4 linked regions of the Struthio camelus genome follow. The protein of the gene in region 1 interacts with the protein of each later gene in a pairwise test. Links are inferred from orthologs where the notes say so. Each region holds a gene or a part of one and is shown in the gene's direction. Other genes may lie near its edges.

Region 1 (7,514 bases):
AAGAAAGGCCCAGGAGACAAGATCAGGCCTCCACACACTCCGAAGCCTAAGCCAGTTGGGAAGTCCCCTGCCTGTCTGCCAGGCAACCAGCTTGCAAGCTGCAGACAAGCCCTGCGGTGCCCCTGCCCAGGAACAACCACTCACTCGCACGCCTGCGCTGTCCAGGGGACAATCATACTTGATGAGCCAGTTGTCATTGCCCCGATCTGCAGGAAGAGAGAACCAGCCACATGAGCTACAGCCCTGGGAAGCCCCATCAATCCCCAGGCAGCTAAAGAGGAGACTAAAGTGGTCCAGGCATTCCCAGCTCTCAGGAGAGGCACAAAGAAAGGTCAGCCTGCCAGCCCAGGAGTGCTGCTCCAGCCCATAATCCTTCCAGCCCAGAATGAACTCGGGAGGCCCAGCACGAGCTGGGATATTGCAGCACAGTCAGGGGCTTGGTGCAGGGTCCCTGGATGTCCTGGGATCCTTGCAGCTGGCAAACTTTTGCCCCAGCACCTGGGTAGACCCCAGCCTGGCCTCCAGAATACAGGCTTAGAGCCAAAGTTTGGCCGTGCTGGTGGTAGCCACAGCAGTTGTGCTCCACCCCAGAGGCAGCTGCCATTTGGCAACAACCAAGCGGTGTTGATACAGATTTGGGTGCTGCGAAGAGTTGTCAAGTTCCTGCCCACATCCCTTCTCTCCAGCTGGCAGGACATAAAGGAGCAGGCAGCACCCCAAGCGAGGCAGCTGGCTCTACCTGTGTTCCTGATGATGTAGTCCAACACCACCAGCCGCTCAAACTGCAGCAACAGCTGCCGGTTGGTGTTCTCAGGAAGCGGCTCAGCTTCAAATCGCCGCAGCCAGTAGTCAGCATCCTTGTAGCCTTCCACAAAGAGCTGGAAGGAGCCCACCTGAAGGAAGGAGCAAGTTCGTTACACAGGGCAGCAGTAGAGGGAGAGGTGGTGACAGGCACAGGCCTAGCCTGAGAGCCCTACCTTGGGTGGCAGACCAATGCGGTTGAAGCGCTGGCCGACTTTCGGCACCTTCTCCAGGGCCAATCTCTTTCCTCGGGATTTTACTCTGTCAATGGCACTGTAGTTAAAGGTCTCACTGGCCAGATACACCACCTGAGGAGATGTCAGCACGCCAGTCAGCTAGGGCAACTGGGGCACCGAGGCCTCAGAGGCCTTGCCGATAACACCAAGACACAGCCCTTCCCACGGCTCTGCTCAGCAGCAGGTTCCCCACAGCCTGAGCAGGAGCAGTCGTGGGTCAGAGCTCTCAACACAAGATTTCCAAGGTTTAGAGTGCCACAAGACAAGCAGACAAGATGAGACTCCCTGGAACAAGAGCCCAGCAGCGGCCCTCTCACCTTTGTGCGGGGAACAATGTTGAGTTCCAGTTTCTGGTCCACAAGGCTGGCACCTGCCTCCGACAGGTAGCCCTGGTTCAGGACGAGACAGTCTCTTCCGAAGCAGCAGGGGCAGCACAATTTCTGCAGCCACTTGGTCCACTTGGGGTTCAGCTGCCCATACGGCTCCTCATTTTTGGGCTTAAAGACACCAATGATTTTCTGAGAACAAGAGAGAGGAGGGCTGACTCTCTGGGCAATTGGTAGGGAGTCAGGACACTCACCCCTGGGCCAGCCTGTGGCAGGGACGGGCTCTGCCAGAACAGAACAGACTCAGCCAAGCCACCCTCCCGCAGTACCCAGCCCCGCTGTGCCTTTCCCTGCTTCTTTCTGCCCATCAGCCACCTCAGATCCCCTCCCAGAGCAGGGGAGAGGCTTGGGCACTGCTCATCATCCCCTGTCAGGCACTCCCACCCACTGCAAGGGGGAAAAACCTGCACCCCCAGCACTCGTCTCTGCCAAGAAATCCACACCCTAGACTGGGGCAGTCACTCTTCCTTCACCCTGGCTTATTCTCCAGGCACCTACTGCCAGCCCTGGCTCAGCTGCTGTGAGCACTGCCCACATGCATATTCAGGAAGAGGACCCAGAACAACCTCTCACCAGGGCAATAACCTGCCTCTGGGCTCCCAGGAGGGAGGCAGGGGCTGGGGCAGATCCTTCCTCCAGCCAGTGCCCCATCCCATGAGATCAGAGTGCTGCCCAAGGATTTCACATCTGGCTCAGGCGCCCAGGAAGTGCTCTCCTTGTCCCAGAGGGCACCACTGACAATGCGGTCCCCTGCCCTGGTAAATATTTCAGCACCAGTCCAGTGACCTTTGGATGTCTGGGAAGAGCTAACACTCCCAGCTGCTAATTATACCCATGTAGGAGAAGGGAGGAAGACAGAGGCCCCTGCTCTGGTTCCAATATCCATTGAACAGAGCTGACCCCAGGCTGCTCAGAAGCAATAGGGCTGAAGCAGCACAGCAGCTGAAAGACCTCCAAGGGGCCCTAGGCTCTGTGCTGCAGGGCCCAGTTAGAGACAGCAGAGGGGCCCTGGCTTTCCTGTGGGCAGGAAGGTGCAGACATCTCTACCTATCAGCAAATTGGGCGGCAGCTGGTGCCAGGAGCACCCCCAGCCCCTCACTCCAGCCTTGTGCTTATCAACCCCACAGCAGGCAGAGTCACACAGAGAGACAGGTCACCCCACTGATGCAGAGCATAGAGGCCACGTGCATCGTCACTGCATCGTCACCAGGCCAAGTCTCCCACCCAGGCAACCGAGATACAGGGCTGGGGCAAGGCTGCCGGCCCCAGCCCAATCAGCTGGGTGGTCAGGATCCCTCGGAGGGGCTGAGCAGCAGCTCCCAGCTTGCAGCCCCTGAGGCAGGATGACTCAGCAGCACACATGACCATCCCTCCTCCCCAGAGCTGGCTCTAGCCCTGCCCTGAGTGGGTGGCACTTCCCCAAGCCAAGCTCCTGCCACAGTGCAGAAGTGGGACACCAACCCCAGCATCTCAGCGAGGGATCCCAGGGCCTTCTTTCCAAGGCAACCCCATTGTCTGCCAGGGGCCCAAAGCCAACCTGGAGAAAGTGGGAGCAAGACTTTGGCTACTGGGAAGAGGGAGGGGAAGGGTTGGGAGAACAGCAGCACTTCAGCCATCCCTAGATCACACAGAGGAACCACTTCTCAGAGTGGGCCAAGACCTAGAGAATAGGCAGGAAGGCCTTATCAGCCCCATGTAAGGACACAGGGTAGCCAGCATGTCCTTGGATTCGAGCCTGCAACAGGCTGGCTGGGAGCTCTAGCAGCATGGAGTTCCCAGTACCATGCCCTGGGGAGCAAGTCCAGCAGGGCAGGAATAGTCCTGGAGCAAGGACGAGAGGCCTGGCAGCAGTGTTCCCTTTCAGACCTGCGCTGGGGGCAGATTGGGAAGTAGCTTGCTCAGAGCACCGTGGAGCAGTGAAAATGGATCAGCACCAGCAGCAGGGAAGGGGGAGCCAAGCCAGCCTGGAGGCCCAGCCAGCAGCTGGGGTAACCTCAACTGCCAGGACTGCAAGGAAGCACATCATGTAAGGTCCTAGCTGGGAGAGCTCAGGTCCTCAGCCTCCCAGAGGGAAGCAAGCACCTGACCCCATCTCAGAAGGTTTTCCTCAATGTCCTCAATCTTTCCCTTGCCCCAGCCTGTCCATCACAGCACTGCACTCCCTCCCACACCATCAGCAGGCAGGTTTCAGTGACCCTGGACAGCCCAGGAACAACACATGCACCTTATTCACAGCAGGATAGGCCAGGGAGACCGGCCTGGGATACAGCCAGGAGCACACAGACTTTGGCTCCTTGCACACTTCCTCCATCAGTCCTCACTGAGGCCTGGCATCCTCTCCCTACAGCCAGGCAACCACTGCCCTACAACCTCAGGGCAGCTTGTCCAGCTGCCCACACCAGCAACAACACCATGTCTCCTGTTGGGCAACAGAAGGCTGGCACAAAAGGAAGTTGCACACTCTCTGTATTGCCCCACAGACAGCGCAGCTGAGACCTGCCTGTGAGAGCTCCCTGCCTCCACCCAGGGCAGAAAAGCCAGAGCATAGCAAAGACACATGAGCCCAGTCCTGCTTCCTGGGAAGCACCCCAGCAGGCACTTGGCAAGGGAGTCACAGGAAGCAGCAGCAGCTCGAGTATTTGAGTTGGGCGCTGCAGGTCACAAGGCAAGCCATGCTGTGCTGCACACGCAACTAGCCAGTGGTGTGGAGATGGCTGCCAAGCAGATCTAAAGAGAGTCAGCTCTGCTGAGGACTTTGTGTTGAGTCAATCTCCCACACGCCCACAGAGGGGAACTCTTACTCCAGTCTCACAGACCAGAGAATGGTGCAGCCATCAAAGCCTCAGCCCTAAGGCTGAGGTCACCACAGTAAGCAGATGCTGATCGGCAGGAAGAAGCGGGCTGCGGAAGAGGGGGCAGCCTTCCTGCGGCTCCACTGCTCTCCGTGTGCGACGCCTTGCGGCGTTCCCAACCGAGGGAAGCCGCCCGGGGCTCCTGGCAGGACAGCCCCACGCTGCTCCTATCAATCCACAGAAGCCCAGATCGATGTCACGAGCTGACCCGGCCTGAGGGTGAGCACAGCCCTTGCACCGGCCAAGCCCTGCCCGAGGCGGGCCCTCCGCCAGGCCGGCACAGCACCCTCACCAGAGGCCTCTGCCAGGCTGCACCGGCGGCAGGGCAGGCAGGCAGCCAGCCCCGGGGGGCCTCTCCCGGGGGCGCGGGGAAGGGCCCGGGGCCCCGCCGGTGCCGGGCTCACCCCCTGCGGGTCCTTGACGAAGTAGCTGCCGCTGGAGCCCTGCGAGATGCGCTCGGGGTAGATGCCGCGCTCGCTGGCCAGCTCAGCCCGCCGCACCACCTCGGCGAACTCGGGGTCCTCGGGGAAGTCGTTCCGCTCCCGCTGAGCAGCCGCCGCCGCCGCCGCCGCCGCCGCCGCCGCCGCCTGGGCCTGAGCCTGGGCCTGGGCCTGCGCCGCCGCCGCCGCGCCGGGGCCGCGCGCGCCGCGCTCCAGCAGCGGCTGCCGCTCGCGGTCGCGGCCGCCGGGGGAGCCGGGCGGCGAGGGCGGGGGCGGGGGTGGCGGCGGCGGCAGCGGGGCGCGCACGGCGCCGCCGGGAAGCCCGTAGTCCGGGGCCTGCGCCCGCTCCGGCGACACCAGCGGGCTCGTCTCGTCCATGGCTCCCGCCGGGCCCGCGCGGCGCGCGCCGTCAGCTGACCGCCACTTCCGCCGCGTCACCGCCGCCGCGCCCCATTGGCCCGCCCGCCCGGCGTCCCGCCCCGCCCGCTCCCCATTGGCCCGGCCCCCTGCCCTGCGGGCCGCGGCCGTTGCCATGGGGACGCCGGCCCGCCATGGCGGCTGCCCCCGCTGCCGCCGCCGCCCCGTCCCACGCAGGAGACGCGGGTGCCTAGGGGAGCGCTGGGCCGCAGCGCGCTTGCGGGGAGGCCTGGCCTGTTAGAGCTCCCTTGCTCGCTCCGACAGGACCAGGGGTACCAGGAGGCGGGTGGAGCTAGTTCTGCAGAGGCAGAGGCCCAGAGCCAGAGGGCCAAGGCTCAGACCAGGCTCTTGCTGGCCGCCGATCTCCTCTAGTGCTTATCTCTGTTTCAGTATGTACTAGGTCAGATGTTGGTGCTTTCTGCAGGCTTTTCTGGCCTCGCACCAAAGACGGGCCTTGTGCGTTCAACAGCTTGTAACGCCAAGGGCCCTGCAGCTCGCACGCCCCCAGCACAGCTTCTCTCCCGCGCTGCTGGTAGCTTTGATCCATCCTCCCTTGCCCAGCTGTGCCGGACACCGGGGCCGCACGCCTCACGGCATTGGACGCTCTTCTGGGGGCGAGCTCACCTGCTGACTGCAGCGCTTGCCTGCCTTGTGTCCTTCCTACCGGCCTCCCCGAGGATGTGTGATTTGCTGCTTTTCCACCACCTCTCATCCAGGTGCGAAGGGGAAAAGCACTTTAGAAAAGAGAGCCGACACAGACTGCCTTGGCGGCCCCCTGCCCCACACAAAGATGGCCGCTCAGGAGTTGAAGGGGCGCCCCCCGCTGCCCTTCACAAAGATGGCGGTGTCTTGGGTTGGGGGCGGCGCCCCTCAGCGGTGGCACCGCCGGGGAGGAGATGATCTTGCCCCTCACAAAAATGGCGGCGGAGGAGAGGGGGCGTTAGAAAGCTGGCCAATGAGGAGCCGCGTTGCTAACAGTTGCCATGGATACAGCCAACGGCTTGCGGGGATGGATGCTGGCGGCGCTGCGCCGCCCGACGGGGCGGGGGGCTGGCAGGGAGGTGGCCGTGCCACCGCCCCTCGGCGGGACCCCGGTGGGGAGCGGTGCGGGCGGCGAGCGCGGAGCCAGGTGAGCGCTGGCGGCGGGTGCCGTGCGCCGCCCGGCCCGCCCCGGCGTGCCCGCCCCGCCCGTGGTGGTGGGCACCGGGCATCCGTGCATCGCCCCCGGGGCACGGCCCGCCTGGGGTGTGCACGCATCACTCCTGCGTGCATGGCCCGCGTGAGGTGTGCATGCATCACCCCTAGATGTAGGTGCATGGCCCGCGTGGGGTGTGCACGCATCACCCCTGGGTGCATAGCCCGCCTGGGGTGTGCAAGCATCACCCCTGGGTGCATGGCCTGCGTGGGGTGTGCATGCATCATCCCGGGTGCGTGGTCCGCGTGGGGTGTGCATGCATCACCCTGGATGCATTGCCTGCCTGGAATCTGCAAGCAACACCCCGGGTGCATAGCCCACGTGGGGTGTGCATGCATCACCCCGGGTGCATAGCCCGCGTGGGGTGTGCACGCATCACCCCTAGGTGCATGGCCCGCGTGGGGTGTGCATGCATCACCCCGGGTGCATTGCCTGCCTGGGGTCTGCAAGCATAGCATCACCCCTGGGTGCATGGTCCGCCTGGGGTATGCACGCATCACCCCTGCGTGCATGGCCTGCGTGGGGTGTGCATGCATCACCCCTGGGTGCGTGGCCCGCGTGGGGTTTGCACGCATCACCCCTGGGTTCATGGCCCACATGGGGTGTGCATGCATCACCCCTGGGTGCATGGCCCACGTGGGGTGTGCATGCATCACCCCTGGGTGCATGGCCCACGTGGGGTTTGCACGCATCTCCCCTGGGTGCATGGCCTGCATGGGGTGTGCATGCATCTCCCCTGGGTGCATGGCCCACGTGAGGTGTGCATGCATCACCTCGGGTGCATGCTCCGTATGGTCATGCTTGCATTGCCTGTGGGTGCCTGCCCCATGTGGGGTGTGCATACAACACCTGGGGGGAGGGAGGCCTCGGTAGGGTGGGCGTGCATCTCCCCGGGCACATGCTGCATGTGGGCTATGCATGCATGACCCATGGCTGCATGGCCCACGTGGGGTTTGCATGCATCATCCCTGGATGCATGGCCCGTGTCGGGTGTGCATGCATTGCCTGTGGGTGCATGGCTCAGATGGGGTTTGCATGCGTCACCTCTGGTACATGGCTCATGTGGGTGTGCATGCAACACCTGTGGGTGCGTTGCCTGCATGGGGGGGGTGCATGCATCACCTGCATCACCCCGGGTGCATAGCACAGGCAGGGTGTGCAGCCATTGCTGGTGGGTGCATGCCCCA
Region 2 (7,144 bases), on another chromosome or scaffold:
TGGGGTATTTTGTCCTCAGTATTAGAACATTATCACAGCTTAAAATCAGCTGCTACCACTTTTTCTTGATTCTACTGGAAGAGATCTTCTTTCTCTCATAGAAATAAGTAATTGCCAACATTCTGCCAAATAGATCACGGAAGTCTTCACCAGTTACGCATTCCAGTCCTTAAGTGCGTTGTATTATCCCTCTCAAGGGACACAGGGGAAAACAGTTTACTTTTCAAGACTAGAGAAGTCTGGTCCTCCTTTGCTGTAATTTCCAGAAATTTCTGCCCCACTGAAGTCAAATCCAGGGTTCTGATGGACGTAAAAGAAAAATTTAGTATACAGATTATACTTAATACAAGCGTATAAACCAACGTTTCTGTTAACTTTCTGTGATTCTAACAAGGACATATAACTATCAGCTTGCTACACAATTCAAAGCTGTCACCGCACTGAAATTCCGCTTGGAGAATGCATCAACAAATAAACCTTGAATTGTCACAGTTGCGTTGCCCACTGCCCAAGTGACTTTATAATGCCATCCTCAGTTTGTCAGATCTCCCAGTAAAGAAATATTAACAAATGTTGGAGTAAGCTTTCTGACTTTTGGTGTCCCTTTAAATTACTATCTGAAAGCATAAGTACCTGCTGTGCTGGATAGCGATTAAAATAAAAACAGTGCTCTTTTTAGCTAAGAGTAATGTGCTGATTCAGCTGTTAACTAATTAGCTGTACTTCCACAAGTCTGCAAAAACAAACAGAGACAGCTGACTGCTAAAGGTGTATGAAAATGGTTAAAATCAATTTTAGTAAAAGGGCAAGGAAAATATTTGCCAGCTCTCCATCATCTGATATTATATGTAAATATAGTCATGAGAGCTTGATGTTAGCTGTATTTAAAACAAACTTCTAAACTATAATCTTAGAGAATAAGAGAAATCGTACGTACCCTAACTTAAATGAAAAGTTGTTGAAAAGAATTATGCATCAAACACTAAAACATTTTTTTCCTTTTCCCCAAAACTAACCTTAACTTCTCACCAAACATTCAGACAGAACAGCAAGTTCTTAAAAGTACTCTGATAAAGCCTAATGAAAATTCTATACATTAAAGTATGAAAGTATTAATTAATACTTTAATTAATTAGTATTGCATTAAAGTATTTGTTTCCAGGATCTTGCTACTGGACAGCAAAATAATTTTGCTCAGCTTTCACAGTCCTGACCCATGTGTGCAAATGCAAAATACAAGCAGTAATCAGTCCTCTGACTTGCCTCTCTTTGGAATCGCTCCAGCGTGAGTTTCCTTTGCATCTGGTCCTGTACCCAAGGATCAGCAGCGTATTCATTTTCTAACAGCGACGTCCAACAATTTCCAGCATCGCGGTTTGTCTTTGTTAGAACAATTCGTATCAATTTCCTGTCCTCTATTGATTGAAGAGAGCCACAGAAAACAACCATTAGACGCTGTCCCGTGTGCTACTTTTTTTTGTTGTTTTGCTGAGTTCACCATTAACATGTTGAAGCATGGAATTTTTTGCTGAAGTGATTTAAATTCTTAACACTGATGCCAACAGGGCTATTAGTAAATAATAACAACAACAAGAAATGGAAAAGCTCAAGCAGAGACAACCTTATGCAGCCATTCCCGCGCTTCTGGCCTTTAAAATGTTGAAGCTGTTCTGGGAGGTTAAAACGCAGTTCATAAGAACTTCTGTTTCAAACATAAACTAACTTCTTCGAGGGGTTCACATGTGAGAAGAGATTTAACCTATTAATACATACAGCTCTGCTAAGGCAATAATTACAGATTTGAAGTCAGGCTGACAGCTTTACAGAATGTTATTACCAGTAAAAGTCAGAAGTAAGTTTAAGTGACTTATGGAGGTATAATCATCTTTTTTTTTTTAAAATGTAGACAGTACTCTTATGAACAATGGCTATACTGAAAGAACATCTCGGAGTTATCACGTAGAATGTTTTAGCGCTAACTGAATAAATGCAGCATGATATGGTGCATTTTGAAGGTTATTCACGTACTGGGAAAGAGTGGGCTTCACACTTCTAATATTCATGATTAAGACAACAAATCGTTCATCAATGTTGATACTAGCCAGAAAACAAAACCATCCTAGGAAAACATTAAGTGAGAAGCACAGTTTACATAATTTTTTTTATTAAAACTGAACACTTCACAATATTTGTGATGCAATGATCAGAGAAGTTTTTTTCTCTTTATCTGTAGTTAGGTACCTTAGCCTGATTTTTATACCACTTGTTGATTCTTTAGGATTGTAGGTTTTGTCACCTATCCCAAAACATAAGGCTTGAGAGGAAGAGGAGAGAATACAGAAAAGTAACAATGACAGAGAGACCTGAATCACATAACTGCACCTGTTTAATTTTTAGGAGAGTTTATTAAAAACTTCTCACCATTCGCTTGCTAAAAACTTAATGTTTATTCTAAGGAAAGTTTGTAATCCCTTGAATACTGTCTTCCCAGATCTGGCATTTCTCCATTAATCTTAATCGCTAAATTTTTTGCGCTACCTATGCTTAAAATCACATATCACATAAAAAAGATAGAAAATTAATATCTAATCCTGATTATCTCATCAACTGAATTTACATCTCCTTAGTCTGGCAGTAATTACGGCCTATTTTACACTACATATGGAGAATCAGAACCTGACCAAAATCAGAAAATAAATAATCTTTCCTGTAAAAAAAAAAAAAAAAAAACCACCTCTACTTTCCTGTATCATATTTGGAAAACAACTGCTGCCTTTCAAAATGTCACTTTGGAAACAGATCATTACCTAATGTCCACGTTCCTTCATCAGCTATTGTGGAGTCAAAAAGTTTACCCTGCAAAAGACATTTACAATATTACATAACAGGAAAACCTGTTTAGTATCCAGTTTCTGTGAAATTGCAAAGTGTTACTCCCAGCTTGCATTCTTCCACTCTACTGAAAAGGGCAATCTGGCCCCACAAATCTACACTTGCACCTAGACTAGCAAATAATTATTTTGTTACACAACAAAAATATTAGAAAATAAGTGTTTAATGCAATAAAAATACCTGTCACTGTTTCAGTATCTCCATTCAATGAAAGGGGCTGTGTTCTCAGGGGGGAATGCCATTTTTAATTGCCTTGCCATCAGAATTCCAGTGTCTGCTAAGGGCCATGCCCACCTATGGCGCAATGTAAATACATTATGATACAAAGAATTTATTGCTCACTTCCAATGAGAAAGCAGATTTATATTTAATCCTCATCATCTCCTCAGCTGAATCTACAGCTTCTCAGTCTGGCAATAACGATGGCTCATTTTACAGAGCTACACACGGAGAATCAGAACTGGACCAAAACCAGAAAAAAAGAAATCTTTCCGGAAAAAAAAAAAAACCTCTGTAGCACATTTTGAGAAATTATACTACCTTTCAAGCTATCACTTCAGAAATAGCGTATTACCTAATGTCTGCTTTCAGAAAGAGACTGGTATAAATATCAGAGGACTTCAACAATATTACAAAAGGTCAGAACGCAGCTGCTTTCAGACGTCCTGACTCCCATGTTCTCTTTCATTTGCAAAGATGATTCTGGCTCTTTTAGCGGTGAACGGCAACGCACCACGCAGCGGAACTTATTTTTCTTGAAAATATACTCCAGCAACAGAAAGTCTTTTTTGACTCACTGCAGTTTATTCACCCCACTTAAAACATTAAGTTATACTACGTTACAAACGTGGAATCAGGAGCGTTTCTGAAGTGAAAACGAGTGTCCGCGTAACGGCCGCCGCCGCGGGGGCTGAGGGCGCAACGGCCGCCTGCCCCTCCCCCCCCCCGCGGTACCTGCAGCACCTCCTCGCCCCCCACGGCGAGCGCGACGTGGCGGCTCCGCAGGCTGCAGCGCACGTCGCGGGCCCGGGTGCCCGGCGGCACGCGCACCTCGATGAACACCTCCTCCAGCGTCTGGTACCAGCGGCCCCAGGGGGTGGCGCAGGGCACCACCCCGCTCCGCTCCTCGAACGGCGCCGACATGACGACGCAGACGCCGCCACCCTCACGCGGCCCACCCGGAAGCCAGGGCAGGGCCCCTCCCCGCGCGCATGCGTACAAGCAAAGCCGTCCCCTTTCCCCCCCGCGGCAGCAAGGCTGCGGAGGGTGCTGCGCGTGCGTCATGTGGGGGGAGGCGGTGATTGGCTGAGTGCACGCCGCGCCGCGGGAGGTGATTGGCTGTCGGCGGCGCGTGGCGGCCGTTGGTGCCGTTCGAATGCCTAGTGGGGCTAACGGCGGTTGCTGCCTGTGGCCATGGCGTTCTCCAGAGCTCCGCTCCGGCGCTTCAACGAGAGCTCCGGTACGTGCGCTGCGCTGCGCCGCGCCGCGCCTGGCCCCTCGCTGGGAGCGCGGGATGGGGGCGGCGCGGGGGACCCGGCTGGAGTTTTCCGCATCAGCGGCTGTGGGAGGGGACCGGCCCGCGGCTCTGGGATGCCTCTGAGCACGGCCCGGCCCTTCTGCCTCTGCTTCTCGGGGCCTCGCCGCGCTCGGGGAGCTCTCGCTTAAGCTGGTGTGGCAGTCCGCTGTGAGGAAAGTGGCCGGCCTCAGGCTGAATCCTGGCTGTAGGCTAACAGGCTAGCTACTGAAAGCTAGAGCGGACGGATCCAAGATGTCATGGCTCTCTCATGTTATGACACAAAGCTACAAAAAACCGTACAGGCTTTCTTTCTCCTGACTGAAGTACGGTTGCTGACAGCAATTTCCAGCATAAATGCTTTTCCTCACGAGCTTTTGGCTGTGGCCGCATACCTGCTTCATGCTGTTGCCTGTTCTCAGAGGATAAGTTACATGAAGTTGCTCTCCTCTCTCTGTAGTTACTTATGAAACTGAACAAAGTGAGTGGGCGTTTACTGGGCTTGAGACCACCTGGTTATGATTATACAAAGAATTTGTAGCTATGTTGTTTCTGCTTTTTTTTTTTTTCTGTTTTCCTTCGAGTTTTTCTCAACTCTTTAGATTCTTTTAATAAAGGAGTAAGTAGTTTAGTTATTAGGATGAGAAGTCTGGAATCCATTAACACCTAAATATTCTGTTCTTCCAAACTGGAAGAGGACTTTAAAAAAGAATAGATGAGGGTTTGTTCTGTCCCCTTTACTTTGCTTTAGAGTGGCTCTCTCTCTAATTAGCTATAATATCTTTTAACTGCTTTCTTTCAAATTGAATTTAATGCTCCGCTACTGCTGATGAGCTGTCTTGAAACACTCTGTATGTGAAGCAGAACTCCTAACGTTTGTTGGGGTACCCAAAAGAAAGTTAAATTGAGTAGTCGACAATGATCTCACTAGCGCTGCAGTAATCTCTCTCCACCCCTTCCCCCAACCATGTGTCCTCCTCATATTTACGGAGGAAAACTGAGATGGGTTGTTGTGGGGGTTGTGATGGTGTTGTTTTTAAAATTAGGTCTAACTTAGGTGTGTTACCAGCTTTAACTCACCGTTATCATTTTCCTTATTAGTTCTTTGCTGTTCTGAATATTTCGTTTCTTGCATGTACTCTGCTGCCAGGATCCTATGATGTCAAATCATTGGATACAGTAAGAAGTTCTCTGTCTTCTGAAACACATCAACGGGTTAGGAGACAGAAGAGTAAGTAGCCCTAAAATATATACAAAGTACAACAATACAATACCTTTAAAAGCTAAGAATGAAAGTGCTTACATGCTGCTTCTGCTCTGTTTTTGGTTTTTGTTTTCTCTGGGTGGGATTTACTGACTGTCTTCCAGCTGTCATGGCTGGCAGTTGTAAAGACATGAATTTTACAACTTAATTGAATCTCTTTCAAAAATAATCCTTCTGTGCAATTTCTAGTGACTAGGAAGTGCTCCATTTTGAATTCAACTAAATGGTTTAACTACTTTTCTAGCCTTGCTTTTAATGGGTGGCATTTTGAGTTGTATAGCTGAGGGGAAAAACAAAACAAACACTGTTCCTTAGCTGAAAACTGACAGTGGGAATGTGGAGTGGGGGTGGGGGGAGAAACTCAGCAGAAAATGAGTTCTCAAGATTGGTTGTCACCTGGTGATCTATTTCTGAACTATGAGCGCTGGACTGATTTAATACTGAACTGCTTGCTTGCAGTAAGAAAATAGCTAGCCTTGGGTTGTGAGGTAGGTAGTCTAATAATCAAATAGCATCCTGTCTTTTGTATACAAAGTTGCTTAACCTTTTCCTAATTTAGTGAAACTTTCTTCATCGCATGCATGCATGCATGCTCCCTTCACCATTCTTGTCTGCATCCTTATTTAGGTGAGACAAATCTGAACAGTGAAAAGAATGCATCTACCCCTGTAACTGGAAGGAGACTTGTATCTCTTGGATCAATAGTAAGACTTTCTTCTGTGATGTCTCTAATACTATTAACTCTAGCCAAGCTTAATATTGGGTCTGATTCTCAATGTCACTAGTTAAGAGCACATAGCTGCTTTGTATAGTTACCGTTAACCTATCTAGAAGAACTGTGAAATGCATTATTATGCCTGGTTTCCTTTTAAAAAAGGGGAAAAAAAAAAAAGGAAGAAAAAACCAGAAATCTTAGCATCTTTGGGATCACATGGTGATTACTTGGGGCTACAGAGTAGCTTGGTTGATGGTGGGGGGGGTTGTTTCTTTTGTTTACATCCAATTGCGATACAGCTGCTTCTCATTAAGATCTTATTTCTGCTTCTATTTTCCTGTGGTGGATGTTACAGGGCAGGAACCTAATGGTGGAAGAATATAAGAAAAGATGATACTGTATACGCAGGTTCTGAGATGTATGAGGATATGGGTTTCAAAATGCATATGTTAACAAATTGAATAATAACTCTAATTTACTGATTGAGTTTATGAGAGCTTGAGGTAGGAGGAAGTTCTACGAACAAACTTGTAGTTAAGTGATTGAAGGGCTTTTGCAGAGATTAAACGGTGTTTATGTCTTAAAACTTCCTCAATCTCCTTTCTGTCACCATGTTCATGAGCTATCCGTTCAGAGTAACGTTCATGAGAAAGTGCAATGGTAAAACTGTTCCTAATCTAATCTGTCTGTTCTGTGTGTGGCTTAGCTTCTGATTTTGTGTATGCTTTGGGCAGGGGCTGTGTCTTAAATATTGCTGTGT
Region 3 (8,197 bases), on another chromosome or scaffold:
ACCTGCCGGAGCTCCCACGGAGAGCCCTCCAGCGGGCCAGGCGCGGCAGCCGACCCTTCGGCTCCCTGGCGCCCCGCACAGACGCCACCTCCCCTCCTTGCCGGGCCGCGGGGTCGGAAAACCAGATCCCATCAGCGGGGCGAGCGCGTGAGCAGGGAGCGGGCTCCTGCCTCCGCGGTGGAACTGGTGCCCCAGCGGCGCCGGTCCCCAGCGAGCAGGGCAGGAGGCCCCCGGGCCTGGCAGCGTAGCCGCAGGAGGCAGGGGGTTTTGCAGGGGAAAAGCGGTCGCCGGAAAGCGCTCCCGGCGGCCGAGGGCAGCCCGCACGCGCGCTCGCAGCCGCACGAGGCCGAAAGCGCGGGCGCAGCCTCCGCGCCCCGTGCCGGGGGTTGATCCCCGCTCGGCTGGTGGCTGCAAGCGCTAGCGCCCGCCAGGCTCCCAGCCCGGCGTGGCCGCTGTTCGGCGCGGGGTCTCCAGGCAACGCGGGCCGGGGACGCTTCAGCGCTCTTGGAAGAAAGCAAACGCCTGCCTGACAAAGTCCCGGAGGGTCGACAGGCTCCGGGACCGCTGTTTTTTCCCCTCAGCCCCCGAGTCCACGCAGTCCCCTGCGCCTGCCCGGGCCTCCCTGGATGACTTACAGTTGTTGTTGGTGTTGTGGGCGCCCAGCTGCGCCAAGTCCTCCTCCAGGGCCCCCGCCAGCTCCTTCAGCTCCCAGGAGGCGTCCGCCCGCAGGTACTGCCAGGCCTTGCGCCCGCTGTGGTCCCTGCGGCTGGCGTCCGCCCCGTAAGCCCCGACGAGCACCTTGATGAGCATCTCGTGGCCCTGCAAGGCGGCCAGGTGCAGCGGGGTGAGCCCGCCGCTGGCCGCGGCGACGTTCACGTTGACCGGGTAGCCCTTCTTCTGCGCGTGGGAGATGACCGTGATGAGGCTTTCGTGGTGGCCGTGCTTGGCGAGCCAGTGGAGAGCGGTGAAGCCCGTCACGAAGTCTTTCCGGGTGAGCAGGCTGGGGTCCAGGTCCAGGAGGCGGAGGATGCTCTCCGAGTCGCCCTGGGCCACCGTCAGCAGCCACTCGTGCTCCAGGGGGTCGAGGGCGAGGGACAGGACCTCGGGGCTGCCCTCGGGCTCCGGCTCCCGCCGGCGGCGCAGCCCCGCGAGCGAGCCGCCGCCGCCGTCGCAGAGCTGCTGGGCGGCGCCGCCGGGACCGTTGCTCGGCAGGAAGACTCCCTTGAGCTCCTTCCTGCGGCCGCTGCCGGGGCCGACGGAGAGCCTGCCCGCCGCGCCAGCCCCGCCGCCCGCGCCCCGCCGCCCGCTCCGGCCGGGCTCGGCCGCCGGCGGCGGCGGCAGCGGCAGCCCGGGGCCGCCGCGGCTCCCGGCGCCCGGCGGCCAGGCCAGAGCCGGGGCCGCGCCGGCGACCTGCCGCTCCGCCGCCCGGGCGCCCTCCGGCCGGGCCATGCTGGCGGCCGCCGCCGCCCGGCCCCGCTCCGCACCGCTCCGCGCCGCCCCGGCCCCGCTCCGCCCCGCGCCGCCACCTGCCGCCGCGCAGGGCTCCGCGCTGCCCCCCGCCGGCGGCCGCCGCGCAAGCGGTTTTGCCCTCCTCGTTTCACCAGGAACCAGGACAAATTCCGGCAGCCCTGAAAGCCACCACGTCCCCCCCCCCCGCCTCCGCCCACGCCCCCGCCAGGCTGGAGCGGTCGCCAGCTGGCTTGGCTCGCCCTTCCCGCAGCCCCAGCCCGCTCTCCCCGGCCTTCCTCCCCCGGCTCCTTCCTCCTCCTCGCTTCTCCCCCGCCGCCGAGGCAGCCGGGCCGGGCGGCTCTCCGTCCGCCGGCAGCCGCTCCGCCGGGGCGCCTGGGCAGCGCGCGCGTCCCCTCGCTCCCTCTCCCCAGCTGCTGGCCTGGGCAACAACCTTCGGAGGCTCCTGCGCACTCAGGGAAGCAAGAGACACGGACCGGGCCGCCGCTCGTGCCGGTCCCCGGCGGGAACGCGCGCCCGCGGGAGGCCAAGGCAGTCTCGCAGTCGTCCAAGGTGACAACATGAGGTTTCATGAGGTTTGAGGAACCTCCTGAAGTTGAACAAAGGCAAGTGCAAGGTCCTGCGCCTCGGGAGGAATAACCCCATGCACCAGTACAGGCTGGGGGTTGACCTGCTGGAAAGCAGCTCTGCCGAGAAGGACCTGGGAGTGCTGGTGGACAACAAGTTAACCATGAGCCAGCAGTGTGCCCTTGTGGCCAAGAAGGCCAATGGTCTCCTGGGGTGCATTAGGCAGAGCGTTGCCAGCAGGTCGAGGGAGGTGATCCTGCCCCTCTCCTCAGCCCTGGGGAGGCCTCACTTGGAGTACTGTGTCCAGTTCTGGGCTCCCCAGTACAAGAGAGAGATGGCACTCCTGGAGAGAGTCCAGGGGAGGGCTACAAAGATGATGAGGGGACTGGAGCGTTTCTCCTGTGAAGAAAGGCTGCGAGAGCTGGGCCTGTTTAGCTTGGAGAAGAGAAGACTGAGAGGGGATCTCATCAACGTGTACAAGTATCTGAAGGGGGAGTGTCAAGAGGATGAGGCCAGTCTCTTCTCCGTGGTGCCCAGCAACAGGACAAGAGGCAACGGGCAGAAACTGAACCACAGGAAGTTCCACCTGAACCTGAGAAAAAACTTCTTCACTGTGAGGGTGACAGAGCACTGGAAGAGGTTGCCCAGAGAGGTAGTGGAGTCTCCTTCGCTGGACATATTCAAAACCCATCTGGATGTGATCCTGGGCAATATGCTCTAGGTGACCCTGCTTGAGCAGGGAGGTTGGACTAGATGATCTCCAGAGGTCCCTGCCAACCTCAACCATTCTGTGATTCTGTGACAAAACCCCCTCAACGTCAGCAACGTGTAAGCCCAGGTAGAGAGCGTCAAACGATCCCGGCGAGCTCCAGCCCCTGGGAGCCTGCTGGCTGCCGCCCGCGCCCCGGCCCGCTGCACCTCCACCGCCAGGCCGACCTCCAAACGCAAAGGAAGCTGCAACTCAGCCCCGGCTGAAGGAGTTGAGCTTGAGAAAATCCTACACGCACCCCGCTGCGCCCCCCGGCCACCCCACGCCAGCGGCCAGGCCCCCGGGGCCGCGCGGGGCGGCCGCCCCCTCCTCGCCCAGCGCGGCCTGCGAGCTGCGCTCCGGAAACACCCCAGCGCAGCAGCCATGGGTCCAGGTCGTAGGAGAGCATGGATGGGCCTCCAGGGACGCGCACAAAACGCGCACGTGTTTTATTTTACGTAGCAAGCAATTTACGGAGACTTAGGCCCCCCTGTCCCCACCAGCCCAGGCCCCACAGGCCCCAGTCCCTGGGCCCCCCCCAGCCCTCTCTGCCCCCCAGTCCCGGTGCCCCCCCGGCCCTCTCAGCCCCCTCGGCCCTGCCCCCCTGTCCCCCCGGGCCCTCTCTGCCCCCCGGTCCTGGTGCCCCCCCAGTCCTGGTGCCCCCTCCAACCCCCCCGGCCCTCTCAGCTCCCCTGTCCTGGTGCCCCCCCGGTCCTCTCTGCCCCTTAGTCCCGGTGCCCCTCGGTCCCTGCCCCCCCCTAGTCCCGGTGCCCCCCGGTCCCTGCCCCCCCCCAGTCCCGGTGCCCCCCCGGCCCTCTCAGTCCCCCTAGTCCCGGTGCCCCCCGGTCCCTGCCCCCCCCCAGTCCCGGTGCCCCCCCGGTCCTCTCTGCCCCTTAGTCCCGGTGCCCCCCGGTCCCTGCCCCCCCCCTAGTCCCGGTGCCCCCCGGTCCCTGCCCCCCCCCAGTCCCGGTGCCCCCCGGTCCTCTCTGCCCCCTAGTCCCGGTGCCCCCCGGTCCCTGCCCCCCCCCAGTCCCGGTGCCCCCCGGTCCCTGCCCCCCCCCTAGTCCCGGTGCCCCCCCCGGCCCCAGCGCCCGGCCCGCGGCGCGGGCTGCACCACCGCGAGGGGCCGCGGGGGGGGCCGGGGAGCCCCGCGCGCCTCGGTGGGGCGGCGGCGCGGGCTCCTCCCCCCCCCCCCCCGCGCGCGGCGGCGGCGCTGGGCGCGGCCCGGTGCGGCGCCGCCCGGCCGGGGCGGGCCCTGCTGGCGGGCTGGCAGCGATGGCGGCGGCCGAGGTGGCGCGGCAGGTGGGAGCGGGCGGGCCGGGCCGGGCCGCGCCCCGGCGCCGTTGGCAGGGCGCGGGGAGGGGGCAGGGTGTGAGGTGATGCTGGGGCGGTTCGGGGGTGATTTGGGCCGGGGGGGGCCGGGGTGATTCGGGGGCGCGGCGTGGGTCGGGGGGGGGTCCCGACCCCCCGCCCCGGCAGCAGGACCCGCTCGGGCCGGGCCGGGCCGGGCCCCGCGGCCTGGGCCCGGCGGCGGGAGGCGGCGGCCGAAGGGGCCCCGCCGCCGGCCCTGGCCCTGGCCGCGGCTCGGATCCCGCCCTGCGTCGGCGGAGAGGGCGCGGGGGGGCCCGGCCGCCTGCGCCTTTGTCAGAGCCGCGCCAAGGAGGCGGTGGCAAGGCGTTTTCAGTCGCGCGGCGTCCTGGCTGGCTGCGGGACGGCGGGGCTTCCGCGCCCGAGCGCTAGCGCGAACGGCGCTGGGGGTGAGGGCTGGCCCTGGCCTTCGCAGAGCGAGCGACAGGTTTTTGCAGGGGCCCGATCCGGGCGGGCGGGTAGGCGTAGCCCCGCCGTGCCGAGCCGCGGCCTTGTCTCCTCCTGGACGCACCCGTTGGCTTGCGAGTTGTGGCCAAGGTACGCGAGCGACTCGCTTGTTCCCCTGCCCGCAGTCGAGCGTTAGGCTCCCCGAGGACGGTGCCTCCAGACATCTGCTAGTAACTCGGTGTGAGCTGCGGGAGGGCGCAGCCTGCCTTCCGAGGCAGGAGTGAAAGCTAGCGGCAAGACGGACGAGAAACCAGCCTGCCGCAAACGGAAAACGTCTAGATGCAGTCAGAAACGGAAAACGTCTAGATGCAGTCAGACGACTTGGCGGCGCGGGTCTCGGGCCCCCGCTCGCCGCCCGGGTTCGTGGCGCGGCCGGCCGCGGCGCCCTGGCGATGCGGAGAGCTGCCGCCTGCGCGCCGCCGGGGGTACGCGCGTGCCAGGGACGGGGGCCTGGCTGCGCGGGGTGGTGGGGCACGGCCGCTGCCCGGCTCCCGGCAGGCCAGGACGGGGAAACCCTCGCCGCCTCTCCTGTCCTCCCTGGCAGCGCGGAGGGGGCAAGTTTTAAATGAATATGGTCCAAACTGCCTCCCGCTCCGCTAGTCCGTGGGCGGAGGACGGCTGTGGTGGTGGAGCATCTTGCAGAGCAGGGTCTAGCTCTCGGTCTCGGTGGTACAAGGTAGAAAAATCACGAAGGGTGCCGAATATATATTTTTTTAACTGCTTGAGGAGACTTCTCCTGGGAACGTGTCCAAACAGCTTGGAGTTTCTGCAACCCTTTGGCAAGGGCATAAAGAAACGTAATCTTAAGAGCTGTCAGAGTTGGAGATTTCAGAAGCGCTTGACCGTTTCTGAATACTGGATGGCTGGGTGATGCAGCATGCCTAAAGGGAGCGGGGTCAATGGTTGGGGTTGGGGTGAGATTTTTCTTGCTTCTGCTGGTAGCTGATTCAAAACTATTTCTCTCCCTCTTCACTTGTTTTTCTTGTAAATTAATGCTGTTGATTTGTTATGAACTGAGCAAGAAAAAGAAATACAAAGTATCTACGCTTTACGTTCCTGCATTGAGTTGGTCTCTTAGAGGATGTTTATGCTGCCTACTGGATAATTCTCTCGTTGCACAGGAGAATTACACGCTTGTACAAGTGCCAAGCGACTGGTACAAGCGTTGCTCTAATCTGTTGTTTAATCAGAGCCAAATGCAGGCTGGGGAAGTGGATGCCACAGCGCCGAGGTCACGAGGAGGGATCTGGTGGTGTTCTAGCGCAGAGATGATCTGAGAAACTGTGGTGCAGAAACCTGAATTCAGGCTTTGGCTTGCTTTCTGGTTTGACATTTGACTTCTTGTGCAACCGTTTCAGGTGCAGGAATTAACCTGCTGGGTTTTGGCTTTACGGGGTGGCAGAGAGGCGTAGTGGTGGAGCTCTGTGGACGTTGCTCAATGTTTTCATCGGGGGGCTTTGCCGTTGTGTTCGTTCCGGCCTTTTAGAAATCCTCCAAAGGGAGTCTCCAAGGCCTCAGAGCGCGAAATGATTTTCGCTTGGGGCGGGTGGGAGATCGTGGTGAAAGTACTATCTGTCACGTGTCAGTATCCTAAACAGAAATGCTCTTTTAAATTAGATGCAGAAAAAGGATTGTACTGCTTCCTCTAGAATAGCAGTTTTTTGAGCTTTTTTGTGGTTGTGCAGGCCTCGTTTGGACACCGGCTCCATTGGGTTGAGAGCTTTAGTTTTTTTTATTTGCTTTGCTGTGCTCTGCCTGAGTATTGCCAAGCGGAGGCTTTCTCTTGCCACGGTGTCGTTTGTCAGCGTTCCTGTTAGCACAAGCCGCCAGAAAGGGTTCTGAATCTGGAGCACTGACATTTACGTGGAGCAGCACCGTTGCGTGGTTGACAGATGATGTGCCACTTTATCTCCACGAAGCGGTAACCACCTTTCAGCGCTCTCAGGTCATCTCTGGAGCCGACAGCACTGTACCTACTTGTTGTGTAAAGAAGATAAAGGCAGAGGTGCGCGTTCAGTGAGATTTTTTTCTAATTATTTTTCCTTCCTGAGGACTTCTGGAGAGAGGCAAGCACCTGGAGTCCAAATTTTGCCCAATTTAACTAAACTAATATTTAATCGGAGTGCTTTCAGGCTTGGGATAATTTATTATAACACTTGTATAGTTTTTAAGTCTTTCTGATACTTCTACGTGAGAATTAGGGTAGACAGCACTGCTTTTTGTGGCAAGGAAAAGGCCTAAGAAAAGGTGTGTAAATCCCCCAACGATGCGGAAAAAATAAAATTACTTCCCCAAGTGGCTACACCATACTTTTGCTCTCAGGTAGCCCCACCTGGCAACGCAGCAAGGCAGTGTGTTGCTCTTTTTGTTCTTTTAGTCTTCTTTGTGGCAAACACACTTTGCTGCTTCCGCATAACAACAGCTCATTCTGTCCTGGGGGGTCACTCTGCACGTATGGGGGAAAAAAAAGGCATCTGGTAGCTTGGTGTAGTGCCAGTATTCACACTGGCTTCCCAGATACTCCCGGCTTTGTCCTCGTTCCAAGAAGATGCTAGCTTTGAAACAGAGACCGCGAAAGGACTCTTAGACATCCAGCGTTCGCTGATGTTAGCGGAAAAAGCCTTCACGTGGGCAATAAACGTTATCTGCCTTGTTGGGATCTCTCTGTGCGTTTGACCCAAAAAATTGCTGTTGAACATAAACAATGGTGAGCAGCTCTTGAACACTCTTTTCTAGCACAAATTGTTGCATAGGCTTAAAATACTCTCATTTTGAACAAGGTAATCCAAATCTGCATTTAATATATAGGCAGTGTGACTAATCGCTGTGTTCATATGTTGTTTGTGGTGAAGCTATTTATATAGAGCAGCAGGCTGCGTATAGAGACACCACTTGGTGTGTGAAGACTCGTTATTTGCACCACTTCTTAGTGGATCAGGTAGAAAATGTTTCTTTTCTCTCCACAGCTTTGGTAATTGCTGACAACTTTCTGACGTGCATCAAAAACAGTGTGAATTTAAAACATAATTTTGTATTTTCTCACCGTATCTGATCTCCCAGTTCTTTGGCCGTGCGGGCTTTGGACTTTTAGGCAGTAGAGCACAATATACCTTGTGGCTGCTTATTTAACGTAAAGGTTCGGCTGCTGTGACTGCAAATCAGATTTTGCAGTTCTTGTTTCCTGGCCTGTAACAAATGTGAAGTGTGGTTTAACTGCATTAGAAAACCACAGGTGACTAGAAAAAGAGGCTACAGGAAATGACTTGTAGACTGATTTCTCTGTGATGGCAAATGCCTCCTCTAGCCTACGGTGGCTTAACTTTTATTTTGTTCCATCTGGATCACACTTATATTTAGGGCTGAGGAGAAGATTTGTTCTTAATGAGAGCCTACACTCCCACCCACACTTCCTGGAGAGAGTAGTGTTCAAACAATGTTCCAACAGTGCAGTTTTAAGGCTGGCTATTAAAAATACCCTTGATATTCCTCCTTCTCCAGGAAGGAGTTTGCCTGTGGTTCTCTCTCTTGCCTTTGCTGACTCTGTCCATCCATCTGTTTTTCCCCAGGACGGTGGTGCTCTCTCATGAGAGATTAAGCAGT
Region 4 (7,711 bases), on another chromosome or scaffold:
GTTTAAATTTCAAAACCTGTGTACTTTCTTTTTTGACAAACCTGTTCAATCTCTTTGAAGCTTATTTATATCAAATATATGCCTAAATAATTTCTGATGAAATCCGAGCTGCCTAATTTAGGTACCTGCCCGATTTTGGTCAGTGCCTGACTCCCAGCTTGTCACATGGAGTTAGTGGGAAGACTTCAGCAGGACACCTGCTGTGGGGAGCCAGCCTACCTGGCTTGCCTCTAGAGGGCAATCCAGTCCATTTAAATTAGGTGCTTGTCCCTCCCCAGCGCTGGCACTGGGAGCCAGCAGTAGACGTTAGCCTCCGTCCCCTAGGCAAGGCCAGTGGCAAAGCACTCCTCCAGCCTCAGCTTTCAAACCGTGATCACATAAAGAAGATTGTACCCGTATTTCAGAAGATTGCTGCTGGGCTGCCACGCAGGAGGGGACGCCCACCTGCACCCATTGCACACACAGTGTGCGGCCAGCAAGGCAGGAATCATCAAGACATCCCACAAGCAGGCAGAAGAAAGCCTGGTTATCAGTGAGGCTTGTCCCTAAAGGACATGGGACTTGTTTTCCCATGAGGGTCCTAATATAAAATGCCCATAAGTTGCAAGGAACTGGGTCTGGACGCAAGGGCGTCCTAACCGCTACGATGCTTCTTGGCTTTCCTTCCAGACACCATGACTCTTGCATCTGGTGTCGGGTGCAAGGTGGCCTGGTTTCAAGATGTGTGGTGGAGAATGGTGAAAGATGTTATACTGGTAGCATAGCAATGTTTTTTACGGAATCAAACTGCCAGAATGAGTTGGTGCTGATAGTGCTTTCGATGTCCGTGTTGGTGTGTCACATGCTCCGCCTCTGCCTACTGAGTGAGCGCTGCAGGGTATTGCAAGAATCTAGAAGAAAGAAGGCCAGCTGAAAGTTTTAGGTTGGATTCTTGCTTATGCCAAATGCATGTGGCACTGGAAGCAGAGAGGCCTCTACCTTTAGACTCATTCTCCCGGTCCATGTTGTCGTGCCGTGCCATAACCCTCAGCGTCCTGCACTGGTGTGGCTTCCAGCTGGGGGCCCACTGCAGCAGGGAGCGTGGAGGAGCTCCCTGCCAGCTCTGCGGTTCCTCGGCACCGCGAGGGGACTCCCTGCCTGACTGCATCCTTTGAACTAACACAGAGAGGGTATTCTGCAGGGCGGGAGGGGGAGGAGGCAGCCTGGCACCTTACGGTTTCTACAGGTAAACTTTTAAGGAACCATCATAGTCCACCCTTATTAAACTCCAACTGCAAATGGTGCTTTCAGCTTGCAAGCAGCTCTGAACACAGTTTTGCCAGTGTCGATGGCTGCAAATCTATAGTTTCGGTTTGGTCAAGTGAGAAATGGCCCATTGTTTGCACTCAAGAGCAATCATGATTTTCTTCCTGAAGAGTTTTCTTGTTGAAGCACCAGAGCCTTCCCTCCCCCTTCCCTCCCTGGTGACCTGGAATTTTCCAGAGATTGCGGTAGGGTCACAGAGTGGCTTTTGAGCCAAAGGCACGAAGGGAAAAAATGAACACTTGAATAAATGACTTGTGTAGCACAGGTTCAAATAGTGAAAAAATTGGGACTTGTCTGGCTAGGAAGCCAATCTAAGCTTGCTACCTGCATTGCCTGGAGACAACTTGGCTTGCTCCCTTTTCAGTGAATGTTGTTATTGCAACAATATGCTCATGCTTCTTTATGCTTAGCTGAGGCCCTTCAGGTCACCTCCTGGGCTTGGGTCCCTAGTAGCTAGACTGCCTCAGGCCAGCGCTATAGAGCAGAACCGAGGTGGAGTTCAAACTGGCAAGTATTTTCTCAAGGGCTCTGAAACTGAGTTTGGGATTCCACCGTCTTGCTCTTGCCTTATGGTCGCCTTTGCTTAATCCCACTCAGTAAAGCATTCAAGTAAAATCCAGCTGAGATATAGCACTACTTAACAGCTGGGCCAGGTGTTAAGCCATTATACCCTGTACTCCTTCAATTAGCTTTACAATAAAGGGAGAGGGATCATCATACTATAAACTTAAGTCTTTTTTATAGTGCTAACAGGCTCAGAAAAGTTATCTGGAAGTGCTCTTTATCTCTAAAGGCTGAATGAATTGCTAACTGCAGAGCGCTTGTCTTGTTAATAAAATGCATCCTTCATTCAAGTGATTCATCAGAGTAGTTATAGTGCGGGTAGTTCCTGCTTTTAAAAGCGCCTTTAAACAGTTGTCTATAATTAAAAAAAAAGAGCAGTTAAGGTTAAGATCAACAAACTATTATCTGTTAGGATTATTCATGGAATATGACCCTGTAAATATGCCAGCAGCCCTAAATTCCAAATTTAGAAGAGCCGCGTAACTGGAAGAATGAAATTACAGAGAACTGTTTCTAAAGGAAGCACTGAAAATCTGAAATGGTGGCTTTTTTTTTAAGACCCACTGTTTATGTTGTTCAAGTCTGAGGAAATAGGAAATATCTAGGAAAGAGTTATTTATGGGGCATTTGATTTTGTTTCCCATGGTGTTATTTCTCAATTGTTTGACTTGCATGTTTTTGTATTTGCTTTTCCTAAAAAAAGAAAAGGTAGGTTTATTATAGCGAAATGCAGTTTCAGTAGGTAACAGACATTAAAGATTCATCTGTTGAATCCACAGCAATGCTCAAAGCCGAGGTGTTCTACTTACACGTTTGGTTGTTGCTAAATTGCTTCTACTACTTGTCATTTCCGTTTAACAGTCCCTTATGCTGAAATTCTGTGAGTTCCATCACCCTTCATGGCAGGATCCATCCTTATCTATTTATTTTTAATAACGTAACACCTTTGGACTTATTCCTTTCACTCTGGAAAAATTGAAACTTCATTACAATGTAATTAGAAAGGGAATTTCCTGTGCATGTGTTTTTATTAAAAGGCAAGAGGCATCTATTTAATCGGAATAGCAGCGCCAGCTGAGTTCATTGTACAAATAAAACATTTCACAAAAAGTTGTCGAGTTTGATACGTTGCTAATTTCAGGGTCATTAAATATAGTTAAAGCGTACAATTGCCATAACAGGCCAAAGCTTACAATATTGGACTTCCCTGTCCCATATTTTCTTTTCTTTTTTTTTTTTAAATCTTTGGGAAATGTTTTTCTACAAGCTTTTAGTAGCAAGAGCAAGTAAGAACTGCCAAACTAATGTAATGCCTGTGTCAAACTCAGAAAAAAAAAAAAAGATAAGATCTACAAGGATACTTAATTAAAAAAGAATGTGATCTCTGTTTTATAAATCATTGCAGCCATCAGCCCCACAAATGTGAAGCAAGAAAAAATTCTCTCGTGAAAGTGATGAAGGAAAGAACATAAAATCCTCAAGCCTGGAAGTGAATTAAACAGAGCCTACTGAATTTCTGTTTTTACAAGTACAGGCTGCAGCCTAAAACAGCACCAAATGCCAGCTTTCCTTACCTGGCAATAAGAAACACGAAAGAAGGCTTTCGCATTGCATAAAGGCAGGCAGTGTGCGGAGCAGCACCACTTCCAACCATGCCGCGAGCCTGCCACGGTGTGTCCAGAAGCGCCAGCTCATCAGAAAAATCGCCTTCTGGGTCAAGTCAGCGAGCGCGCGCGTACGGCGAACAAGTGTCATAACTAATGAGCGATTCTTCACACTTTCATCACGCGCTGCCCAAATAACGACATGAGGGATTCCTGGCAGGCGTTACGACATGGGGATTTATTTGAAGGCTTTACAGCCAGCTCCCAGCGCCAGGCCCGGTACGGCCCCTCCGAAAGGCCGCGGCCAGCGAGGGCCGGGACTCCGGGAGCCGCAGGGGCGGCCGCTCTGCCCGCGCCGGCACACACGGCGCCCGTGGGGACTCGCGGCAGGACCCGCGTGGGGCGGCGGGCGGCCGTTTCCCTCAGGTCTCCGCCGGCCGTGGGGGGTGGGGGGGGAGGAGGCGACCGTTGGCCGCGGGGCGGGAGCGGCCGTTGGCCTCACGCGCGCCGCCCCCGGCGGGGCCGCGCGGCCACGTGCTCGCCGCTTCCCGTCGCCGGCCATGGCCACGCGGTGGTGGCCGCCCGCCCGGCGGGGACACCGCCCCCCTTGCCCCCCCACGCCGTCCCCCATCTCCCGCCCGCCCGGTCGCCGCTCGGCCCCCAGCTCGGCGAGCGCAAGCTCACAGCCGCCGCCGCCGCCTGCACGTGCGCGGCCCGCCGCCGCCGCGCGACCGGCGCGGGCTGCCGGGGTGGCGGCCGTGCCGTGCGTGGCTCCCCCACCACCACCACCCCCGGGGGCGGCGGCGGCGGTGCCGGCCTTGCCACTCGCTTCCACGCGGCGGCTGCCGAGGCAGAGCGCGCCGCGTGTCCTTCGGCGTCCCCGGGCCGGGCCCACGTGCGGCAGGGGCGGCGCGGGGGGCCGGGGCCGTGCCCGCCGGCGCTGCTCGCGGCCATGGCGCGCGGCGCGGCGCGGCGCGGCTCGCTCGCGCCCGGCCGTTGGGCTGCCCCCGCGCCGCCGAGTGGGCAGCGCGCGCGCGCGCGCGCGTGCTCGCTCGCGAGGAGCGCGGCGGGGGCGGGCGCGCGCGGGGTCTCCAGTGGGAACCGCGTTCCCTGTGGCAGCGCCGGGGAGGGCGGGGGGTGGGGAAGGAGGGGGGAAGAGGAGGGGGGAGAGCGGCCTGCTCCTCCCCCCTCCCCTCCCGCCTCTGCCCCTGCCCCGGGGCGGCGGGTGGCGCTGGCCGCGGCGGCTTGGGGCTCAGTGTCCTTGTGCGGAAATGACACACGGTCCCGTCACGTCACGCGAGAGCGCAGCGCGCGGACCCTCGCACACAAAGAGCGGGGGGGAAGCGCGGGCACCAGCGGCGGCCGCTCCAGCCGCCCCCGCAGTCCCGGGGCTCCCGTGCCCCCACAGGCAGCCTAGGTAAGTCCCGCCGCCGCTCCCCGGCGCAGTGGCGGGAGGGGCGCCGCTCCGCGCAGCCCTCGGTGGGGAGCGCCGCCCCGGCGACCAGGGGAGGAACGGGGTGGGGGGGGGGGAAGAGCGAGCGGCAGGCCCGGGCCGGCCCCTCCCCCGGCCGCGGCGCGGGGCCCCCGGCGCCGCCGCCCCTCCCCCTGCCCGTGGGGCGCGGGGCGGGCGGCGGGGGAGGCAGGGGGGGCGGGGGGGGACTCTTTGTTCGTTGCTTGGAACGTTGCTATAGCGCTGCGGCTCGGGGCGCGCGGGGGCGCGCGCGCGCTCCCTCCGGGTGCCTCCATCTCCGCGGCGGCGGCGGGGGCGGGGGGGAGGAGTGGAACGGTCACGCCGCCGTCACCTCCAGCCTCACCTTAACCCTCCCTCCTCTGCCCGCGGGCCCCCCTCCCCCCCCCCGCCCGCCACATAGATCCGCCCGGGCAGGGTTCGGACCGGAAGCAGCGGCCGCCACCGCCGCCGCCGCGTCGGGCTCGTGGGTCTGACCGCGGAAGCGGCCCCGGCCGCCGCGTGCGGGGCGCGCGGGGCCGGCGTTACCGCAGCCCCCGCCTCGGGGCGGGGCCGCGGCGCCGCGCGGCGCCGCGGGTGGCTCCCACGTGGCAGGCGCTGGAGCCCGTGGGGCGCCGCCGCGCTTCCCGCTCGGGGCCCGCCGCCCCTCTGTCCCCGCGTGTGCGTGCGTGCGTGCGTGTGTGTGGGGGGGTGGAGGTGGCGGGGCCGGAGCACGTGTCCTCCGCGGGGGTGGGGGTGGGGGGTCCCGCCGGGGCGGAGTGCGACGCTGCGCAGCGCCGGCCCCCGGGAGCCCCAGAGCGGAGCGGGAAGTTGCCTTCGTCCCCCGTAGAGGGCCCGGTGCCGTCCCGGTGCCTGCAAAAGGGGGCGACTCGATGGCATGGGCGGGGATCGCGTCTGACTCGGCGTGAGTGGGTTGTGAGTGCTAGGCAAGTAACAGGGCAGAGGTGATCTCCCTCTGCCGGCGCCCGTCCTCCCCGCGGCAGGGCCGGTTGGCAGCATGCTAGTCGGTATCACAAGTTTCTAGCGTAGCTGACTGCGTGGTTCATCCCCGAGGGACCTTGCGGTGTGTATTTCCCATGATAACAGCTCTGTTCAGAAGCTAAATGGTCTTACATGTGGGCTTCATGGGAACCTTTGGAGCAGCATGTAAGCACGTGCCTTGTGAGAAGTGAGGACTTGGGTCAGACCCTTAGCTGATAAAAACCCTTAGTAACATCGAGCTGATGATTCTGTCATAATTCATCTTGGTTCTTGACCTGCAAAGAGTTGAGGGGACGCGAGAAGGCTGATGCGGAGGAATGGTCTACCTCCACCCAGCTCACCCTGTGCTTTACCCTGCTCTCTCCTGTGGTATGTCTACGCAGTCTTTTGTAAATAGAAGGGAACAAACTCTGAACCAGCAGAATGTGAGCCGGCTGCAGTCCAAGAGCCATGTGACTGCTTCCACATAGCGTTGACGCAGTCCCAGAGCCTTTGGGTTGGAGCGCAGATAGAGCTTGTCACTGGCACCTATAAGAGCAGTATAGGCCTGACGCTTGGGGCAGAGGCATTCAGATCCTTTCCCTACTTTTGCCTAATATCTGGCTGTCAGATTCTCCGTTTACTTTGATGCTTTCAGCTGGTAAAACAATTAGAAATCTATGGTAGTCGATTTTTTCTGTCTCATTAAATCAAGCTCAGCATTTGACTGACAGTACTTTTTTATCTTTGCTAAGTATTTCCATAGCTTGTTACCCAGTGAGTGAAAAATAAAGGAAAGTGTAGTGGAGTTTGAAGGGGATTTTAAATTGTCTGTAGGAAGTTCAAATGGAGCAGTATTTTAAAATAAAGTTGAAGATGAGGAGGGAGAGAACAAAGCATTGAGAAAAACAATGTTCCTAATAGACCGGGGGAAAACACTTAATTGAACAAATTGTAGTTAATGCATTACCTTACATACAGTTTATACATATAGTAGTTAATACATTGCTGAAAATAAACAAATTGCACTGATCATTCACTGCAAGATGAAATTGGTGTTTGGGAAAGTAAGGGGGACAGGTAGGGAAAATTTCAGCTATATGCAGCTTCTGGGAAAACTGAGAAGCGTGATTTTATTTTTTTAAGTGCATCTGCAGATGTAACTAAAAATAAAATAAAAAAAAAAAACAAATTGAGAACATGCCCTGCAAGTCCTGTTGGCAAAATGCCATTGTTAGAGGCAGGCTTCGGTCGTGAGGCTTCCTGTCCTCCACAAAGCAGCAAAGGACGTTTTCAAACAGTTAAGTATAGAGATTTTTCTATCCATGGGGGTAATGCTTCCAACAACATCTGCTGGTTCTTACAAGAAATATTTTTTCACGGATTAAAAGCTTCTGTTACACATGTGCTTATAGTTGTATTTGATTGTGATGGAATAGCATTTTCTAAGTTATTTAGTCTTTTGAGTATCAATACTGGATATCAAGAATAAATTTTATTCAAAAACTCCATTGCTGGGTCACTAGCAGCACCCTGCTATATTAAAATTGATTGCTAGAATAGAAAACACACTTTTAGTATTCTTTATGCTGTCTTTTTGCATTTTGCTCTTTGTTCAGATAACTGAAGCGACATTCTTAATTCAGAGTTTCTTAAGATATGTAGTCAATTTGAAATCAGATAATGTTTTATCTTCTCTTTTAATTAAGGTGTGGTTTCGGGTACCAGATTTAACTTCCTCAATGTGCTACCTCAACCTGTGAAGTTCAAGTAACTTCACAACCCCTTCAAAAATGTTTCTCCAGAAGAA

Evidence for each region.
Region 2: the proteins of MORN4 (region 1) and HMMR interact in binary tests that used the Homo sapiens proteins (3 or more experiments, as listed by UniProt). The two-hybrid records come from large-scale screens. The link is inferred for Struthio camelus from reciprocal best matches to the Homo sapiens genes MORN4 and HMMR.
Region 3: the proteins of MORN4 (region 1) and SEPTIN6 interact in binary tests that used the Homo sapiens proteins (3 or more experiments, as listed by UniProt). The two-hybrid records come from large-scale screens. The link is inferred for Struthio camelus from reciprocal best matches to the Homo sapiens genes MORN4 and SEPTIN6.
Region 4: the proteins of MORN4 (region 1) and BEND3 interact in binary tests that used the Homo sapiens proteins (3 or more experiments, as listed by UniProt). The two-hybrid records come from large-scale screens. The link is inferred for Struthio camelus from reciprocal best matches to the Homo sapiens genes MORN4 and BEND3.

What each region holds. Positions count from the first base shown.
Region 1 is NC_090948.1:17,027,059-17,034,572, reverse strand, and holds the start of MORN4 (MORN repeat-containing protein 4), read left to right. Parts: upstream 1-4,355; 5' UTR 4,356-4,494; intron 4,495-4,679; coding exon of another isoform or gene 4,680-5,093; exon of another isoform or gene 5,094-5,130; intron 5,131-6,187; exon of another isoform or gene 6,188-6,261; intron 6,262-7,514. Other genes in the region: PI4K2A (phosphatidylinositol 4-kinase type 2-alpha), read right to left, coding at 145-206, 740-893, 978-1,109, 1,355-1,555, 4,680-5,093. UniProt on the Homo sapiens protein: Plays a role in promoting axonal degeneration following neuronal injury by toxic insult or trauma.
Region 2 is NC_090954.1:15,762,175-15,769,318, forward strand, and holds the start of HMMR (hyaluronan mediated motility receptor), read left to right. Parts: upstream 1-4,094; 5' UTR 4,095-4,305; coding exon 4,306-4,351; intron 4,352-5,555; coding exon 5,556-5,636; intron 5,637-6,296; coding exon 6,297-6,373; intron 6,374-7,144. Other genes in the region: NUDCD2 (nudC domain-containing protein 2), read right to left, coding at 217-300, 1,264-1,415, 2,808-2,856, 3,847-4,035. UniProt on the Homo sapiens protein: Receptor for hyaluronic acid (HA). Involved in cell motility. When hyaluronan binds to HMMR, the phosphorylation of a number of proteins, including PTK2/FAK1 occurs.
Region 3 is NC_090952.1:11,991,146-11,999,342, forward strand, and holds the start of SEPTIN6 (septin-6), read left to right. Parts: upstream 1-4,974; 5' UTR 4,975-4,989; coding exon 4,990-5,022; intron 5,023-8,197. Other genes in the region: ankyrin repeat domain-containing protein SOWAHD, read right to left, coding at 496-1,449. UniProt on the Homo sapiens protein: Filament-forming cytoskeletal GTPase. Required for normal organization of the actin cytoskeleton. Involved in cytokinesis. May play a role in HCV RNA replication.
Region 4 is NC_090944.1:58,877,878-58,885,588, reverse strand, and holds the start of BEND3 (BEN domain-containing protein 3), read left to right. Parts: upstream 1-4,623; 5' UTR 4,624-4,890; intron 4,891-5,720; exon of another isoform or gene 5,721-6,291; intron 6,292-7,610; 5' UTR 7,611-7,711. UniProt on the Homo sapiens protein: Transcriptional repressor which associates with the NoRC (nucleolar remodeling complex) complex and plays a key role in repressing rDNA transcription.